3 linked regions of the Macaca mulatta genome follow. The protein of the gene in region 2 interacts with the protein of the main gene of each other region in a biochemical or structural test. Links are inferred from orthologs where the notes say so. Each region holds a gene or a part of one and is shown on either strand. Other genes may lie near its edges. The genes, in order: RAB1A, CHML and RAB5A.

What was found.
Region 1: the proteins of CHML (region 2) and RAB1A form a complex in vitro, tested with the Homo sapiens proteins (2 studies listed by BioGRID). The link is inferred for Macaca mulatta from reciprocal best matches to the Homo sapiens genes CHML and RAB1A.
Region 3: the proteins of CHML (region 2) and RAB5A form a complex in vitro, tested with the Homo sapiens proteins (2 studies listed by BioGRID). The link is inferred for Macaca mulatta from reciprocal best matches to the Homo sapiens genes CHML and RAB5A.

Annotation. Positions count from the first base shown.
Region 1 is NC_133418.1:59,583,540-59,587,139, forward strand, and holds the start of RAB1A (ras-related protein Rab-1A), read left to right. Parts: upstream 1-974; 5' UTR 975-1,155; coding exon 1,156-1,178; intron 1,179-3,600. UniProt on the Homo sapiens protein: The small GTPases Rab are key regulators of intracellular membrane trafficking, from the formation of transport vesicles to their fusion with membranes.
Region 2 is NC_133406.1:7,462,397-7,466,227, forward strand, and holds CHML (rab proteins geranylgeranyltransferase component A 2), read left to right. Parts: upstream 1-907; coding exon 908-2,881; 3' UTR 2,882-3,436; downstream 3,437-3,831. UniProt on the Homo sapiens protein: Substrate-binding subunit (component A) of the Rab geranylgeranyltransferase (GGTase) complex. Binds unprenylated Rab proteins and presents the substrate peptide to the catalytic component B.
Region 3 is NC_133407.1:28,577,211-28,580,559, forward strand, and holds the end of RAB5A (ras-related protein Rab-5A), read right to left. Parts: intron 2,093-3,349; exon of another isoform or gene 2,091-2,092; coding exon 1,975-2,090; 3' UTR 641-1,974; downstream 1-640. Other genes in the region: PP2D1 (protein phosphatase 2C-like domain-containing protein 1), read left to right, coding at 1-411. UniProt on the Homo sapiens protein: The small GTPases Rab are key regulators of intracellular membrane trafficking, from the formation of transport vesicles to their fusion with membranes.

The sequences.
Region 1 (3,600 bases), on a different chromosome or scaffold from region 2:
GCTCTGGGCTGTGCCTCTCCCATCCATGGGATGTGGAGCCATTGAAGGTTGTGGGGTCACGATGGAGTTGCTGTCTCAGAAAGATACATTCGACTGTGTGTGCAAATGGGCTGGGGCGGAGGAGAGAGAGAGAGGTAGAGTCCATCTGGAGACTACTGCAATAGCCAGGCTGACGAGAGCGGGGCACAGTAAGAATGGGAAGAAATCCAATAAGAAAATGGTAGTGCGCGGGGCCAACAATGGACGATGACCGAATAGAGGTGGGTCTGGGTGAGTGACGAGAAGTAAAGAACTGCTCCGTGCTGTCCAGGGAGCCCCTTGACTTCCCTTCTGTCCTTAGAGCGGACGTCCTCCGACCAGCCTCCAACCAGCGCCACCAGGGTGGCGCAAGCCTCAAGCTGGTCAGGTCAGCAAAAGTCGCATGGGAGGCAGGAGCCGACACGCGTGTCCCCCGACCCCCTCTCCGCTCCCGCACGCCGGCAGTCCCTCAGTTTGACCACTCCCTCCGGTCCTTTGCCTCCCGCGACCCCCAGCCTCCGTCGGCCGCCTGCACCACCCTCCGCCCCTCTCCGCCCCCTCCTCCGTGGGGCGCTGACTCGCCCGGCTGCCACGTCTCACTGATGACATCACCAGGGCCGCTCGGTCTTAGCCAATCCGCCAGGGGGAGTCCGAGCGAAGTCCTAGCCAGCGAGTCAGAGGGGAGGGGAACAGGGAGGGGCGGAGGGTGGGGAGGTGAGGGAGTGGGGAATGGGGCGGACGACAACCCTTCAAGTACGCATGCCCCAGAGGCGCGGCGCTTGGCGGGAAGCTGAGTCCTGGCCTCAGCGCCTCACTGTCTATCCTCAGCTCGCGTAGCTGCACTCGCGACTCCCTTTCCCGGCATGCCAGGCGGTGCGGCCGCCCTCTGGGCTGTGTAAAGGCCCCTCGGTCTAAGGCTTCCCTATTTCCTGGTTCGCCGGCGGCCATTTTGGGTGGAAGCGATAGCTGAGTGGCGGCGGCTGCTGATTGTGTTCTAGGGGACAGAGTAGGGGAAGACGTTTGCTCTCCCGGAACAGCCTATCTCATTCCTTTCTTTCGATTACCCGTGGCGCGGAGAGTCAAGGCAGCGGCTGCGGCAGCAAGGGCGGCGGTGGCGGCGGCGGCAGCTGCAGTGACATGTCCAGCATGAATCCCGAATAGTGAGTTCAGGAGAGCACCGGTCGGCTGGGTCCGTGGGCCAGCTTGGGGGATTTTAAAGGGGGCGAGGAGGGTTGGGGCGGAAGTCGGGGCATCGGCTGGGGTGAGGCGAGGGTGATGGGTCAGGAGAGGCTGGCGGCCGGGAGTCGGGCCCCATTGTCTGACGCGGAGGGGCGGCCGGGCGGGGGAGGGGTCGGGTCGGAGGGGTGAGCCGCCCGGGCCTGGACCGGGTCCGGTTGGAGGGCCTGACTGCGGGGCGGGTGCTTAGGAAGTCTGCCCAGGGGCCTGAGGCGGTGTGAAGAGGTAGCTTGTCTCGGAGGCAGTGACTTTTGAAGGAGGACTTGTTTCTAAGAGGAGGGGATGGGGTGGGAGAACCCTTCTAGAGGGCACTGGCAGACCCTGCGCCCGCACTCTGCGGAGCTGTCAGGATCCTCGGGGTGGAAACCAGCTTTACTTGTAAATCCTGAGCTTGTTGGCTCTCTCTTCTTCCATCCTCCCCGCCAGGTTTCAGGTAATATGGATGCTTTTCGGGACTGCGTGGGATTGAGGGGAATGAGTAGATAGGGAGAAGCAACTGAACATTTTTTAGTTCTCTTTTTGAGTTGTGCCTTGAACGAGTTCTTTAAGAGCTCGCCGGGTCCATTGCCCTCCTAAAAACCTGGGCATTTGTGAGTTTTTTTTTTTTTTTTTTTTTTTTTTTTTTTTTTTTTAAAGAGGACACCTAAGTCATTTTGTCTTCTGTAGGTCAAGGGAAAAAAAACCCAAAAAAACAACTAAAGCCAAGGAGTGTGTTTCTGATACTCGCAGATTAAAGGAAGCTTGCTGTCAAGTTGAAAGAGAAACGAATGGGACCTATGATAGATCTGTATGTAGTTTTAGATTACCTGCTTGGATGCTTGCAGATAGGGAATGAGGTTCCATGACGTGTCATGAAAAGTTAATGCATTTCTTTTTCTTGCTTACTCAAGAAGTCACCACAGCAGATGTGACACACCTGGCACCTTTCCTGGGAACTGGTGTTCACTTCCTTTGGGTAGAGTTTGTTGGACTCTCCTCAGTGGCCATTTAAAAATTTCCTCTACAGTTTACATGTATGTAAAGTAATAAATAATTGTAAGAGACCGAATTGGTATTCCTTTTCAGTGTCAAAGGCCTTTGAGGGATGGGGGAAAATCAGTATTTGTTGTAAAAGTTGAGTTTATTTGCTGCTTTGGTCAATTACTGCTAAACATTTCCCCCTAAAAGGTCCACTCACCAGTTTAGCTGACTGTCATATGTGTGTCACATGGCTCTTGCAAAATGCTTTCTTCAAGTTTTGTAATACTGTGGCTTGATGCTGAAATCTCTTGCACTATACAGAAACCATAGTATTTTATTAGAATTTCATGCTTTAGAAGTTAAGGATAGTGTTGTTGTAGTGACATTTGCTGTGTTGACAGTTTAAAACAAATTTTTTTTTTCAAGGGCTCCAAGGACAAAGTTGGTTTTGCACAGTTGAATGGAGTTGAACTTGAGGTTCTTCATTTAGTAGTTTTCTTGGTAACAATAAAGAACATGGATTTACTGCTTTATCGAGGTTTATAGACCTCTACTGTTCAGGAAATTTTCTGAATTTGCTATATATATGTATGTTTATTACTATAAATAAATCTTCAAGATTAGTTGAGAACTTTGACAAGTTACTTAGCCTCTGAATTTTTTTCCCTTTTTGTAAAATAGGATAATTGGAGTCATTATTCCTGTCAGGGTAGTGGTGAAATTCAAATGTATATAAAAGAATTTGGAAAACTGTATGAGCATTCTTCAGGTTGTATGCATCATTTTCATGAAAGGCATTCTATTAGTACTAGGATTTAGAAATATAATCCTTGCATTTAAGAAGTTTAGATATAGGCCGGGCGCCGTGGCTTAGGTCAGTAATCCCAGCACTTTGGGAGGCCAAGGCGGGCGGATCCCGAGGTCAGGAGATCGAGACCATCCTGGCTAACACGGTGAAACCCCGCCTCTACTAAAAATACAAAAAAATTAGCCGGGCGTGGTGGTGGGCGCCTGTAGCTCCAGCTACTCAGTCTGAGGCAGGAGAATGGCGTGAACCCAGAAGGCGGAGCTTGCAGTGGGCCAAGATCGGGCCACTGCACTCCAGCCTGGGCGACAGAGCAAGACTCCGTCTCAAAGAAAAAAAAAAGAAAAAAAAAATAATTTTTTTTTTTTGAGAGGGAGTTTCAATCTTGTTGCCCAGGCTGGAGTGCAATGGCGCAAATCTTGTCTCATCGGCACCTCCGCCTCCTGGGTTCAAGTGATTCTCCTGCCTCAGCTTCCTGAGTAGCTGGGATTACAGGCATGTGCCACCACGCCCGGCAAATTTTGTATTTTTAGTAGAGACGGGGTTTCTCCATGTTGGTCAGGCTGGTCTCAAACTCCCGA
Region 2 (3,831 bases):
GTTATGAGCCTAAATATTTTTAAATGGCCAGTTGTTTTACTGAATTAATCCTTTTATTATAATCTTACTAGTAATTGAGTAGAAATAGTCTCATGTTGCTATCATGAGATCCTAAGGTGGTTGTGGCATGAAAAGGTCTTATATTCAGCTATTCGGGAATCACACACAGACTGTAATGGCCACAGAAATATTTTTAATCATGGCAGTATGTACCTAATGTATAATCTGTTTCTATAAACAATGGAGCCATACGTTCCTTTTAGTCTAAGCTCACAGCTGTGTATAGATTTATTCACATGATAGTTTTCTTAAAAGCTAAAGTTAGAGAATTGTATTATGTTATTTCTTCTTTATTTTTGTGGAACATTATGTTCATTCTCTATTACTATGTTGCCTGATTCTTGGGAGGGCTGTTATATCTCTATTGTCCATTTTCAAGAAATTAGAAAATATGTGAGAAAGCATTTAAGACATGCTTTAGTGGAGGTTTATGTCCAAATAAGAAGTCATACTCCAATGGATTGTCATTGTTGCATGAAATTATTTTTCTCTTATATTGTTTACAATGTATTCTTTCTTGAATTTTCTTCTTTCAGAGAAGAGTTCCAGTCACAAATGCATATATGATGCATTTTGACATTTACTGCTAAGATGAAATACAGAAATGAAACCACACATCCATTTTAGTATTCTCAGATGTGATTAGATGTACTTGCTCATGTTTTTATGCTACTGACTTATAAGGAAAAAAATATATTTTAAAAGGGTAACTGTTAAAACAGCTAGGACCTGCAACTTCATTGCTTCTGGGATAAACTGGAACATCAGAAGGACAGATTTTATTACAGCATAATCCCACCTCATTTCTTTCATCAGCAACTGTCACCAGACACTTTTACTTCCTAGAATGGCGGACAGTCTTCCCACAGAGTTTGATGTGGTTATAATAGGGACAGGTTTGCCCGAATCCATCCTTGCAGCTGCATGTTCAAGAATTGGTCAGAGGGTTCTGCATATTGATTCAAGAAGTTACTATGGAGGCAACTGGGCTAGTTTCAGCTTTTCAGGATTGCTAACCTGGTTGAAGGAGCATCAGCAAAACAATGACATTGGGGAAGAAAGTACTGTTGAATGGCAGGACCTGATCCATGAAACAGAAGAAGCCATCTCTCTTCGCAAGAAGGATGAAACTATCCAACACACAGAAGCTTTTTGTTATGCCAGTCAGGATATGGAGGACAATGTTGAAGAGGTTGGTGCTCTGCAGAAAAATCCTTCTTCAGGGGTGTCTAGTACCTTCACTGAAGTTCTGGATTCCGCAGGCTTGCCTGAAGACAGCCAGTCATCAAATTTTAATAGCGATGAAATGTCTGCCAAACACACTCAGAAAAGTGATAGAGAGATTTCACTGGAAGTAACTGATGTAGAGGAATCAGTGGAGAAGGAAAAGTATTGTGGAGATAAAACTTGTATGCACACAGTTTCAGATAAAGATGGAAATAAAGATGAAAGCAAATCTACAGTAGAAGATAATGCCAATCAACCAATTAGAAATAGGATTACTTACCTTCAAATAGTTAAAGAAGGGAGGAGGTTTAATATTGATTTGGTATCAAAACTGCTATATTCTCAAGGATTGCTAATTGATCTTTTAATCAAATCAGATGTTAGTCGTTACGTAGAATTCAAAAATGTCACTAGGATTCTTGCATTTCGGGAAGGAAAGGTAGAACAAGTGCCTTGTTCCAGAGCAGATGTCTTTAATAGCAAGGAACTCACCATGGTTGAAAAGAGGATGCTAATGAAATTTCTCACATTTTGTTTAGAGTATGAACAACATCCTGATGAATACCAAGCTTTCAGGCAGTGTTCATTTTCAGAATACTTAAAAACTAAAAAACTAACTCCCAACCTTCAACATTTTGTACTGCACTCAATTGCAATGACATCAGAATCATCTTGCACTACAATAGATGGCCTTAACGCAATTAAAAACTTCCTTCAGTGTCTCGGACGGTTTGGCAACACTCCCTTTTTATTTCCCTTGTATGGCCAAGGAGAAATTCCCCAATGTTTCTGTAGGATGTGTGCAGTTTTTGGTGGAATCTATTGTCTTCGTCATAAAGTACAATGCTTTGTAGTCGACAAAGAATCTGGACGATGTAAAGCAATTATAGATCACTTTGGTCAAAGAATAAATGCTAAATATTTTATTGTGGAAGACAGTTACCTTTCTGAGGAAACATGCTCAAATGTGCAGTATAAGCAGATCTCTAGGGCAGTACTCATTACAGATCAGTCTATACTAAAGACAGATTCAGATCAGCAGACTTCCATTCTGATAGTTCCTCCAGCAGAGCCAGGAGCTTGTGCTGTACGGGTCACTGAATTATGTTCTTCAACCATGACATGCATGAAGGACACCTATCTGGTACATTTGACATGTTCATCTTCTAAAACAGCAAGAGAAGACTTAGAATCAGTGGTGAAGAAATTATTCACTCCATATACTGAAACAGAAATAAACAAGGAAGAACTTACAAAGCCAAGACTCTTGTGGGCTCTTTATTTTAATATGAGAGATTCCTCGGGAATCAGCAGAAGCTCATATAATGGCTTGCCTTCCAATGTTTATGTCTGCTCTGGGCCTGACTGTGGCCTGGGAAATGAGCATGCCGTCAAGCAAGCTGAAACACTTTTCCAGGAGATCTTTCCAACTGAAGAATTCTGCCCTCCACCTCCAAATCCAGAAGACATTATCTTTGATGGCGATGATAAGCAGCCAGAGTCTTCTGGAACCAATAATGTAATAGTGGCCACACTAGAGTCCTCTGAGGAAGGCAAAAACCAAGAAAGCCCAGAGAAGCACCTTCAAAATTAGAAAAGAGCAATCTGGAAATGCTGTTTTGGACCTCCTTCATGGCATCAGAATATTCTCATTTAAAGGACAGTTTCCCATATGAGTAATTAGAAGTGGTTATATATGTTGAATGCTATGCAGATGTTGTCTTTAACTCTCAGACATTCAGCATTGAATATCTTTGTTAACCTATCAATGAGTGATTTATTGATTATTGAACATTTTGTTTAGAATGGGCTACATGACCCATAATCTTAAAACAGAGTTAGCTGTATTTTAGTATTGGGTATGTATGTAAGGGTTCCATATTAACAACTCAGCTTAAAGGTAATGTTGTATTTGCTAATGATCTTCAGATTTTATCTTTGTCTACAGAACAATTAGTAATACCCAAGTAATAATTACTTTCACAGCTATTATAGTTGCTGCGGCCTGTTCGAATAGTGAAACACACACAAATGGTAAATTATGTGGATCTTTTGCATATAATATAAATGTATAGACATGGTGGTAGGAATAGCAACTAATACAAATGCCAATATGATAATAAAATACGTTTGTCTATAATCGTTAAAAGATTAGCTTTGCATGATGCTTTATTCATTGTGAAGGTCTGAAGTTTATAATACCCACTTCACTCTTGTAACTGATGAGGCAATGACGCCACCACAGTGTTCTGATTTACAAAAAGAATTGGAGTTCAATTAGTAGTTGAAAAACTCATTTTGGGGAGGTTGATTGCAAAGAAAATTTGAAGGATAAGATTTATTCTCATTTAATACTTCAGAAAATTTCTGCAGAGCCCTGCTTTGGCACTTAAAGAGCTTCCAACAAGTAACTTAGACCAAAAGGAAAAATGAAGTGCCCCAGGAGAAGATACTTCATAAGGGCTGTTCTGAAATTCCTAAGGAGAAACAGAGTGAAGCCTTTTTAACCTGGGATTCCAGATAGTTATAAAACCCTCTATAAAT
Region 3 (3,349 bases), on a different chromosome or scaffold from region 2:
CTGCTTTTTTCAACCATTGAACCAAACCTTACTAAATCACAAAGTAACATCCACGTATTGTTTCAGTATAAATCTGTATCTGAAGGATGTGTGTCAACTACAAATTCCAAAGAAAATTTGTCCGATTCAAACTATTCTAAATACTGCATTTATAACCCTGAGAATGTAGAAACATTTCCAGCAGAAACGACTCATCATAAACCTTGCAGTGAAAAAGTAACTGACAGCCCAACTAGTGTCAATGGTGTGGCAACAAATGAAAAAGAATCAGGCACTAAGAGTTTCTATGAAGGTGCAGCTGAGTACGTTAGCCATGAACTTGTAAATGCTGCTTTACTGGCTGGCTCCAGAGACAACATTACAGTTATGGTAATATTTCTCAATGGAAGTGAGTATCAGCTTCTGACATAAAAAATAAAAGTTCCAATTATCCAGAGCACCAAAATATAATACCATAAAGCAATTCTTGAATGATCCAGATATTAGGACGATTCATCAATAACATGCAAACAATTTTATGAACACAGTAAAGAAAATATAAAAGCAGATATTAGGTCATATAATATCATTTATATATGTTCACTGTTTTATGCCAAAAAAAAAAAAAAGAAAGAAAAACCAATACTTGCTTTTTATACCACTTTATTCCAACCTGAGCACCTCAATATAAAACTAAACACTGGTGAACCGTTTTCCTAATTCTGCATTATTGTAAATGTACAAGTTCTCCTAGCAGTCCAACACTTAAATAGACTAAATCATCTCTGACACATGGTAGCTTTCATATAATGAAAATACCTAAAATAATTAGTGCAATATACTGAACTGATCAAAATAAAATGAACTTTGGAAAAGAAGGCTGCAAGATTGTTACTAACATATTGCAATACTTTATGTTACAAATTACGGGTACATTGTTTATTATAGTTCTAGCCATGGAGGAACAACTGAAGCCCCTTCTTGTCCAAGGGGGAGAGAGAAATAATTAGCTATTTTAGTAACTGTACATTTTGTATACTTTTAAGCAACTCTTAAATATTACAGAAAAGTAATACAGATATGGAGACTACAATGCAGTACCCTATTTACAGTACAGCTGAAGATCGAATTTAAAATAATCAAGTTTGAATATACATAATTGTTAGTGCATTGACTATATTATGTCAAAAGGGAACAAAAGCCCCCTCCCTGCCCCAAACAACAAAACCTATGTAATGGCCAGCAGTGATTAATCGGAAATCAGACACCTGGTTTATTTCATTTTTGTTAAAGAACTCACATGTTTGAAAGGAACACTATCCATTAAGGTGCATTTATTAGTTCTCAAATTCTTAAAACAAGATGGGATTGCATTTGATTTTTACCCCATTTAAAAAAAAAACGGGACTGGCTATAATTAAGATACCATTAATACTCTTCCCCACCCCCCGACCTTGTATATGTGGGATTATTTTCTTGTGGCTAATTTATTAAAATGTGGAATGTACATTTTAAATACAGATACCAGGAGAAATGAACATTTGCCTGAATACTATGGCTAAGCATCATAAATAACTTTAGAATCTCCTTCTAAAAAAAGGACGTTTTTGAAAAGCCCAAATTAGTAAGATCCAAATTTTTTTTCACAGGTGACTACTGTACCAGTGTGGAGAAATGGGCTGGTTAACTGTGTGGGTCCAGACAGTCATCTGTCTATATTCCTAGTGATGAGAAATCATTCCTCCTAACCTTCCAATGAAACAAGTGTCCACATAGTTCTCATTTTTTCCCTATTGTTGAAACATTAGTGAGAAGGACCCATGCATGTTATTAAAAATTAAGTTCAAAACACTTAAAATAATTCTGTATTAGAAACTTGACTCTATCATAAGTCTCTTCTTTTGGAAGTCATACTGGGCTGGTTAAATGCTCCAATTCCATTGTTATTAACATTTAGGAAGCAGAAGACTATTCCAGCTAGTTCAAACTAGAGGTTTAGTTACTACAACACTGACTCCTGGTTGGTTGTGTGGGTTCGGTGAGGTCTACTCCTCTTCCTCTGGCAGAATTTGCTCCTGGATTTTGTGGTTCATTCTTTGGCAATTTTTTAGCTGAAAGAAAATGATCAAATAAATGGAATATTTGAATAGTCATATTAGTATCAGTTTCACCTGCTATTTGTAATTTTTCTTTTCAGTTAGGTTACCCCCAAAGTATTATATAACCACATGTTCATTCTTTTCAAATGTTTACTATCTATTAAATGCCAAAACATTGGTTGCTGTCTTAGGGAGTTTGATTTCTGGGGTAACTGTGTTGGGGGAAGGGTAGATGGGGACTGGCTGTAGACACAATTAAAACTTAAGCCTGACTAGTGCTTTATGTAATTCTCTACACAGATTCACTCAGTAATACCAGAAAAGTTGTATTTTATTTTATACTCATTATTACTTCTTCTTCTTCTTTTTTTTGAGATGGAGGCTCGCTCTGTCACCCAGGCTCACCTAGGCTGGAGTGCAATGGCGTGATCTCAGCTCACTGCAACCTCCACCTCCTGGGTTCAAGCGATTATTGTGCCCTGGCCTCCTGAGTAGCTGGGATTATAGGCATGCCCCACCACGACCAACTAATTTTTGTTTTTTAGTAGAGACGGGGTTTCATCATGTTGCCCAGGCTGATCTTGAACTGCTGACCTCAGGTGATCCACCTGCTTTGGCCTCCCAAAGTGCCGGGATTATAGGCATGAGCCATGGTGCCTGGCCTCATTATTACTTCTATTTAAAAAAAAATCTAAGTTAATAAACATGATGGCCAGCCAGTAAGCTTATCAGTAAGTTTATAAAGAAGCTCAGCTCATATCAGCATTCTCCAGGCTGCCACAAACGCTTTTTAGAACAAGTCAGGATAGAAACAAATACCATTGTAATCATCACCTCAACAAAACTTGTCCTCTATTGTGCAACTAATTATCACCCCGAATTATGATAGATCATATCTACTATTTCCTTCCTGGCTTCCACAGCCTTTGGCCTTAAAACATCTATATACATTTTCTCTCTCACACTCTCTTTTTTTTTAAGAGACAGGTCTCACTCTGTCACCCAGGATGAAGCGCAGTGGTGTGATCATGGCTCACTGCAGCCCTGAGTTCCAAAGTGAGATGGGGTCTCACTTTGTTGCCTAGGCTGGTCTTGAACTCTTGGGCTCAAGGAATCCTTCCGCCTCAGACTTCCACGTGCTGAGACTGCAAGTATGAGCCACCATGCTCGACCTCTTAGTTTTTAAAAGAGAAACTTACACCTTGCAGAGTAACCATCAGCTGCCTTGAAATAAAGGGGAAATAGGTAAGAGTTGGATTTTTGAGAATGAA